Linked DNA regions of Neurospora crassa OR74A. The protein of the gene in region 1 interacts with the protein of each later gene in a pairwise test. Links are inferred from orthologs where the notes say so. Each region holds a gene or a part of one and is shown on either strand. Other genes may lie near its edges.

Region 1 (4,561 bases):
TAGAGCATCTTGCTTTTGCTTCAACTCTTCCATTACGGGGTTTGCCATGGTGAGCAGTGTGGTATTTTTGCCCTCGAAACTTCACTTGGTGTGCGAGGTAAAGAAAACGGTGCAAAAGGCGATGACGAAGCTGCTATGGTAGACGCAGTATGACTGTGGCCCACAATATCGGCTGATTTGTTACATTCTTTAAACCACCTAATCCAGTCATCTCAAGAAAGAGGAATAGTACCTCTAGTAGGTAAATGTAGCTTTGGCTTTACCGACAGCCTAGTACGTAACCATGGCTTCGGCCGTGGCTTTAACACAGTTTCCCACTGTACGTCAAAAACACCATTGGTAGTGAGTGTACTGTTGCTGAACTTCATGGCCCTGCCAGTTCGCAGGGTATAACATCCGAACTGTCATGCCAAAAACGGGCTGAGCACTGGTATGGGCGTGCGAGTGTGGTTGCAGAGAAATGAGAATCCAGAGAGACTGGAAATGACATCTCGCATCAGTTCAGGTGTGTTCTGCCCCCCACGTTGCGGGTGACATTGTGGCCATTTGGCCCGAACAGAGAGGGAGACGGGACTTAAGTTGCGCGTCACTCTACTGTTGTAAGAGATCAATTAATCAGTATTTGATTTCGCTCTCGATTCATGTCTCTTCGCCTCCAACGGGGTCCTATTCCTTCTGTACCTGCCGTTGATTTGGTTGTCACACAAGGCGGGGAAGCTTTAGTTCTTCCTCCATATTCTTTACTTTACCTGGATGGTACTTGTAAGTTGTAGGTGAGGTCGCATACCGTATAGACTCGGGGCGTTGGTTTTCAACTTTCTGGGAAATCAGGCCTAAGCTGTAAGCATACTGCAACATTCATGCCCACCAAAAATTCTATGCAAGACGGTGATTTTGAATGTCTCCACGCTCCAGCGCCCTTGAAAAGATAGGTGTTTTAAGGCAGGACATTGAAGAATCGAATTTACCGTGCTTCGGGGTGGCAACATGGAAGTCTCCTCCAATTAATTTTGTGGACATAAAATGCACATAATCGGGCAGCATGCTTACAGGTTATGCCTGATTTCCTAGGAAGTTGAAAATCAACGCCCCGAGTTTCCAGGTTGTACAGTTTAGGTATTAGGTACCTGGGCTACCTACCTCTACCTCTACCTGTACCTACCTACCTATTCCAGGTTCCTTACCAGATTCCCAAAGCAAGTTCCAGGTTCAACGCTACCTAGGTATTATGCTTCAAGACCAGGGACAGTGTGCGCGAGCCATTCACTGCACTTAGCGTCCCCCAGTCACTGCCCTGGGGCTGCTCGCTAGGTATCTAGAATAGGTAGGTACCTAGGTAGGCTGTCACACGGCTGCCAGACCCGGGCCCGGTCAACGGACCCACTTAGAGGTACCTAGAGTAGCCGTGCAGTGGCCCCGACAGGCCGATTCGTTGTTCGCATTCAAGCACGCTTGCACTCCGCGCAGTGGCAGTGTGCTTCCTTGCTTGTGGGAGGTTCAACACTTTTGCAACTTCCGCTAGGTACCGTTGCAACCTCAACGTCAACCTCACCCTCGACTCACCCGACGGCCATTTCGACTCTGCCACAACCACGACCCAAAATTGCATGCGGCGTTGCCAACACCCCACCAACACCGAACGCGCGCTTGGTTCACTTTGCTCCCCCGCCGCGGGCATTCTCGACGATTTCTCCGCTCCAGGATCATGATCTGACAGCTTAACCGGCCGCGCAACCGTTGGAGGGAGCAAGAGAGAGACGGGCGGACGACTGCGCGACAGACGACAACACACAGCGTTGAGGCGGCATCGCCTCTCCGCCCGGCAAGATGCCCGCAGACAACGACGACTTTGATTTCAACGCCCTCAATGAGGAAGGATGGAAGGAGCAGGAGGCCCGCGATGAGGAAGCCATTCGCCAGATCAACAACAGCTTCGGCCCGGGTGGTAACGATGGTCTGACTGAAATGCTGGGGAACCTCCAGTCGGGAGGCGAGATCGATCAACGAGGCAAGGCAGACGATGCCATCGACTTTGAGGACATCGACTTGAGCGACGAGGACGAGCTACCCAACGACGAACCGAGCACTTCCGGCACCAGTGGCGAGCTGCCAAGCCTCATCGACGACGCCGGCACTAATGATGACGACGACCTCTTTGGTGGCGACCCCTCATCGCCCATGGACACAGCTCACGATGGCCTGAGATCCTCTCCCCCGCCGCTCGACGTCCATGACGATGTTGATGCCAAAAAACGTCCGGATGCTGCCGCCGGGGAGTCCCTTGAAGACCTCCGGAACCTCAACTTCGACAATGACGAAGAGCCGCATGCGACAAATCAAGATCCCGACATTCCTCCGCCAGCGGAAAACTTCATCGACGCCGTCAAGCAACTATTCCCCGGTTTTGAGGAAAACGCCATCCTGCATTGGAACGAACTATTGAAGCCCAAGAATGCCACATGGATCTCAAAAAAGCCCCCCAAAGCTCCCAAGCCCTTGATACCATCAAAACTCAGTCTGGAGTTGGATGCCGATCAGGAAAAGCAGTTCCGGATTCCGGGCCCTGCCACTGGCTCCGTTTGGCAGAGGATTAAGGAAGCGGAAGCGAGAGGTCTGTTCTGTCTCGAAGAGCCAGAGCCTTTGGAACAAACCGATCTGGAAGTATTCAGCTTGGACGACGAAACGGATTCGGAGAGGATAGGTGGATATACCCTCCAGGACATAGCTACGATATGTCAGGACTGGGAACAGATGATTTTCTTGGGCGACAGTCTTGCGGCTGCCATCGAGCCGGGACCGCAGCCGAAACCTGACAACATGCTCATTAAGGATGAGCCTGATGAAGAGGCGGACTGGGATGCCATGTTCCTCGATGAGCCTGCTCAAAAGCGGAGAAAGATCGAAATTCCTAAAGGTCTTCCTCCTATTGCTCACTTCACGGCTCCAAATTTGGACGAATTCGAGCAGGTCACTTCGAAATTGGGCAAGCGTGTCATCCTTGACATGAACGACCCTTATTTGCTGATAGACGACGTCGAATCTGAGCGGTCATCTAAGCGGCGAAAGACCCAACATAAAACGGTCCGCTTGGCGAATGGGAAAGCTGGGCGGGACCTTATACAGCGGTTCAATTTCTCCTCTGACGCTGCTTACGACGCGTTGAAGGAGAACAGCCAGAATAGGGTTCGGGCCACGTTGGCTACTATCCCTGTCGAGCACAGTTTGCCTGCGCAGAGACTGTCTTGGCCTTACTACCGCGTCAAGCTCGCGGCCAGTGACCCTCATAGTTATCACCGGCCTCAGCTCCACCCTAAGAAGGATCTGCAGTATCTCATCAGGTTCGACAAGCCTGCCATTATCAAGCGCAAGACTCTCAAGGGTAAACGCGTCAGCGAGGTATTTAAGAGTACTCATGACCTCTCCCTCAACGACAACTCGACCGCTATCCTTTTCGAGTACTGCGAGGAAATTCCCACCGTTCTCTCCAACTTTGGCATGGGACAGAAAATCATTAATTACTTCCGTCGAGCTAAAGGCGCTGATAGCAGACCTGAGAAGCGTGAGCTTGGCGAGACTTGTATATTGATGCCAGAAGATCGCTCACCCTTCGCCATCTTCGGTCACGTCCACCCTGGCGAGGTCGTGCCTACTCTTCACAACCACATGTTCCGCGCCCCTATTTTCAAGCATAACCCGAGGAATACAGACTTCCTGATTGGTCGTAGCAGTACCGGCCAAAAAGGCTCAACTTGGTACATCAGAAATATCGATCATCTTTACGTTGTCGGCCAAACCCTGCCCTCCATGGAAGTCCCAGGGCCCCATTCCAGACGTGTTACAAACATTGCCAAGAATCGTCTCAAGATGGTCTCGTATCGCCTACTTCGCAAGAGCGAGCATGTTACCCTCCATGATATTACTAAGCATGTAGCTGAGTCCAACGAGTCTCAGAATCGTCAAAAGTTGAAGGAGTTCCTGCGCTTTAGAAAGGAAACAAAAGATTGGGCGCTGCCCGAAGGCGAAGAGCTAATGGCCGAACCGGCCATTCGATCTCTTGTTAGGCCGGAAGAGGTCTGCCTATTGGACGCCATGCAAGTGGGCTTGCACGAGATCGAGAAGGGTGGTTATGATGCTACCGATTCCCTCAAGGACGATGACATTGGGGTTGATGTGAACGATGAGCTCTCTCCAGATGCTCTTGCCAACAAGATGGCGCCTTGGAAGACTACCAAGGCATTTCTTGACGCCAGTCATGGCAAGGCTATGCTTGCAGTTCATGGCGCCGGCGACCCGACGGGCAAGGGACTGGGCATCAGTTTCCTGAGGACGTCCATGAAAGGCGGCTATCTTGAGCAGCTCCAAGGACCAATGGCCACATCAGCAGATGCCATAGAGAGGCAGCGCAAAGCGAACGGTGGGCACATGTACAACGTCAAGAACCAGGACACACTCTACACCGAGGCTCTTACCGATATCTGGAACCGCCAGCGGGAGAGTCTCTTGGATTCCCAAGAGCACGATGATGAAGATGTGCTTGGGCAAGAGGATGAAGACGAGCGTT
Region 2 (4,411 bases), about 1.8 Mb from region 1:
AGAGCTATAATAGATAGACTGCTGTTAGCTGATCGGATCGAGTCTGAGGTGAACTTATCTGCCGGGACCTGAACACAGGCAGAAGATTGAACTCACCATTGAGATAATCCGTCGCCTCGTCACTGTCAAGCGCTATCCTCTTGATCTCCTTGTTGACCGGACCTGCTGCCCACGCGACAAAGGCGTCCACTCCCCGAGTGTCTTCCACGCCGTTATACAGCTGTTCCAGTTCCGATTTCTCGGGTAACAGAGCGCCGATTTGCTGCAGGGCCATGCGCACGTCGACTATCGTTGGTACCAGCTCGCCCGTCTCGGGCTCTTCGTTATTGTGCGCGGCGAAGGTGGCTGTGAGGCGACAGAGTGCGTCCAGGTAGCGGGCGGCCATATCAGTTACTGAGTCGAGGACAGAGGTGCGGGCGCCGTGGTAGCCGGCTGCGCGGAGGATCTGGAGAATCGAAGGCCGGAGGAGGGCGTGGTAGAGGTATGGTGGGGGTGTCATGTTGGCGAGAGTCGCTCGGTTTCAGCTAGGTAGGTTTGATGTCGAGGATGGCGTCGCGTTGCTCGAGAAATGTCGTTGGGAAAGGTTGTCGTCTACAAAGGTGCCAGGTCTGATTGGATATGATACAATCAAGAGGGTAGGTGAATGGGCGCGCTGCAGATCAAGAACTGCCATACGCGCCTGGCCTCGTGCACTTGTTCTTCGTTGTCGAGACACTGTCTGCGAGGTTTCGTGTCTTTTTGCTTGTCGATGCAGTGGGGACGACAAATAGTCAGAGTCGGAGACTGATCAGCTATACCAAGAAAAATGACTTGGGCTGAACCGTGGCGATTAGCAGCGCGTTGCTGGCAACAGATGGAAATTGGTTTTCCTCCAATTCAATCGCAGGCGACGAGGTGGGTTAGGTTTTCGAGGGAGTTTGCGGGCTTGCGGCAGGCAGCTCTAGTGGGGCGGGGATGGGTATCGTCACTGCCGTGCAGTGTGTTCTTGGAACTGGGTCCCTTCAACGCTCGCCGGAGGTGAAGGCCACTGCGTAATATCGAAGAAGTCACAAGCCGACGAAGAGTGCCAATGCATGCGTATTAGGAAAGTTTTGTTTGTTAATTATGGTTGACAATAGGGAAAGGAAATAAAAGAGGATTGGATGAAAGACAGAAGGCATAGAGAGTTTCCGGGGTCTTGGCGGGTGAAACTGAGGAGGCATAAAAGTAGGTCCACATTGTCACGGCATCGTGCTATATTCAAAGTAGTATAAGAGGTAAAATAGTATCTTGGAGGAATACAAGCTTCTTGGCAATCCCAAACCTTCTTCTCACTCGGGCCAGTCGCATTGATACCTCTACACTAGAATGGGTGATTTTCATCAGGAAAGCACATGTCAAGTCGAAGTACACAGGACGTTCTGGAACAGTTGGACAGCGGCACGTTTCTATTGTACCCCACCTGCCGCTGAGGAACCGTAGTGGAGTCTTGAAAGCCAAGCTCCGATTTGGACCGTGCAACGACGGACTTTAGCTAAAGGGGGCCCACCCACTTTAACATTTCCACGCTGACGCTCGTTGCATCATTTCCACTTTCAGAACGCGCTTGTCGCAACAGCGGCTTTGATAGCTGCACCGAGCGCGCCTCACCTCCCGCTTTCCTCCCCGCCCACCAAGAAACCTCCCGCTCTCGCCCAGGCCCGCCAAAGAACGCGAAGAGCATACCTCCGCCGTACCTTGTTCGATCCACATCCCCCGGTAGCAACAAAGAGGCATCGCGCCTGTCCGTCATCACCTCGCCCTCATCGAAATCTTGACGGTCAAATCATTGTCCAGTCACGACCGGCCGCCCATTCTTAATACCTAGAGGTCACCTCGTACCGGTGCCTCCCGCCCGATTCGACGCCGACTATCCATACTACCTACGCCAGTACTCAGCGATTGAGCATTTCCTCCGAGTGATCTCTGGATCATTCGCTTTATTCCTCAACGTCCTCATCGTCACACGACCTCAAGACGCCGCAGCAAACCGCTGAAACGGATTACCAGAGCGCCTTGCGCAACGACAAACAGCAAACATGGACCCACCAGGGCCAGTCAAGCGGACATTGACGCTCAAAATCAACACTCAATCCAATGGCTCATCTCAAGCAGGCAGGACGGGATCACCGGCAGTTACACCTGGGCCTGGCCATAACCTCTCTGCCGCCTCGCCACCTCCTCAGACACCGGGGGGCTCACAGGGCCCTCGCAAGATCAAGCTCAACGTCAAGGGCACGTCCTCACAACCACCAACACCAGCCGGGCCGAGACCGCCGTCGCATTCCAACACTTCATCTCAGCCGACACAACCACGGATATCAACAGGAAGCTCGGCTGCTCCCAACATCTTCATGTCCAAGCCCAAGACGGCAAGTAAAGTCTTCTTGAACGCGGCGGCGAGAAAGAGACCAAGAGAAGAGACCGAGGCGGAGGACGGTCCGACAGCGAATGGCATTGGGGGAGAGTCAAGGCCCAAGAAGATCACGCTCAAGGCACCTTCGGGCACAACCCCAGTTCAAACTCCGCTTCTAGCTCCCAAGGTTCGCCTAAAATCGCAGGGCAAAATACCGACGCGGCCGCTGGGGGAGGGTTACGATTCGGAGGCCGATGATAGGGAAGTCGACCCAGTAATTGAAGAGCAGCTGATCTTGCGCATGATGCCTGGTGAGCACTGCGACTATCTCCGGAAAGCCGTGGCTGAAAGGAAAGTGGGCGTTCCTAAACATCAAGGTGGCGCCGATGTTACAATGAAGTTTCTGGATGAAGAAGGACGGCGAGTAATGTTTGTTATTCAAGGGCAACCGTACGCCGCTATTCTGGTTGATCTACCCACAATCACCGAGGGCATGAAGACGTGGGATAAGAAATCCATGGTCAAGTCAGCCGACATTTGCCAAATGATCCTTGTCTTTGCTAAGGTCAAAGACGAGGCGGAGGCCAAGTCGGTTCCTTTACCCAAGGCTGTCGAGCATGGCCACAGATGGCCCCATGGTATCACCCCGCCGATGCATGATGCACGAAACCGGAGGTTTAGAAAACGCCTCAGCAAATTGGAAATCCAGAACAAGGAAGCCGAGGTCGAGCGGTTGCTGGCAGCAGACAGGGAAGCCCTCAACTCCAGGTACGAGCTTGTAGCAGAGGGCGGGCACGGAAATACCGCTGCGCCCGAGTCCGATCACGAATACGGTGACGAGGACGGAGGCATGGGAGGCGAAGAAGACCGACTAGAGGACTATTTCGGGGACGCAAATATGCAGAACCAAGACGACGACAACCTGTTCGACGATCTCGAGGCAGAATTCGAAAACGCGGCAGACACACCTGCCGAAGCAATGGACGCCATGGACTTTGGCGCTGCCACGCCCACGGCGTTAGGCGGCGGCATGGATCTTCCCACACCCCCCACCGCCAACACGGGTACGCCTACCGCTGCACAAACCGAGGAGAGTGCGGCCGAAGCAGTCAGCGAGGAGGACGAATCAGATGAAGACGACGAGGATGATGAGGGTGACATGGACGATGACGGCGATGAAGAGCGCCATGATGAGGTGGCGGGAGTCAAGGCTGAGATTGCCACACTGAGGAAGCAGCTGGCCTCGTACGAGGAGCAGTTGTCCAAGGCAACAAGCATTATCATGAAGAAACGTCTGGAAGGCAGTATAAAGAACATCAAGTCGGAGATTAAACTGAAGCAATCTTCGATTGGTGAGGTGTCCGAGGAAGATTGAAGGGGGTATCCAAGCTGTGCTGTTATGGACCTGGAATCTATTTCAGAGAAAGGATTATCGTATGGGCCATATTATATCATGCTAGCCAGAAACTCAGAAGTCAGTGAATAGCAGCAAGTTGAGAATGCCCAACGAGCGGCACAAAGAAATGGCACTTGTTAGGCAATATATTTACCGATGCTTGGGAAGCAAGCACACGAGCAAAATTCTGACCTGTTGTCCAAACATTCAATAATTTATGGTTACTAACTGAATCACATGTATTTGTACAGAATCGTTTTTGGATCTAACCATAGCAAATGGCTCTCTGGCTGTCCACTCCAGGGCTCTCAGGCCCTTCACCCTCCTGAAGCCGTATATAGTTTTCTTACATTCAGGACAATTCCCCCATGTCCATGTCCGCTTTCGTGCCCGTAGGTAGCCATACCATGAAGTCGTTCTTGGACGGTTGGATGTTAGTACACATACGAGCCCACCACATCAACTCGGCTGCTGCTGCTGCTGCTGCTGCTGCTGCTGCTCTAGCCGTCCCTCCTTCTCTCCCTTCACGTGCTCCCCCTCTTCTTTTTCTTCCTTCCCACCCATCTCCTCCCATGTTTCGTCCTCGTCCTCCCTCGGGCCTCTGCCTCTCGAACCACCACCACCCCTCATGCTTACATAGC

What was found.
Region 2: the proteins of hat-2 (region 1) and NCU03095 interact in binary tests that used the Saccharomyces cerevisiae proteins (3 or more experiments, as listed by UniProt). The link is inferred for Neurospora crassa OR74A from reciprocal best matches to the Saccharomyces cerevisiae genes TAF1 and TAF7.

What each region holds. Positions count from the first base shown.
Region 1 is NC_026501.1:2,719,971-2,724,531, forward strand, and holds the start of hat-2 (histone acetyl transferase-2), read left to right. Parts: upstream 1-1,450; 5' UTR 1,451-1,827; coding exon 1,828-4,561. Other genes in the region: NCU16368 (hypothetical protein), read right to left, coding at 1-48. UniProt on the Saccharomyces cerevisiae protein: Functions as a component of the DNA-binding general transcription factor complex TFIID. Binding of TFIID to a promoter (with or without TATA element) is the initial step in pre-initiation complex (PIC) formation.
Region 2 is NC_026501.1:4,523,298-4,527,708, reverse strand, and holds NCU03095 (transcription initiation factor TFIID subunit 7), read left to right. Parts: upstream 1-1,574; 5' UTR 1,575-2,057; coding exon 2,058-3,749; 3' UTR 3,750-3,971; downstream 3,972-4,411. Other genes in the region: NCU03096 (bromodomain associated domain-containing protein), read right to left, coding at 1-4, 97-499; NCU03094 (hypothetical protein), read right to left, coding at 4,403-4,411.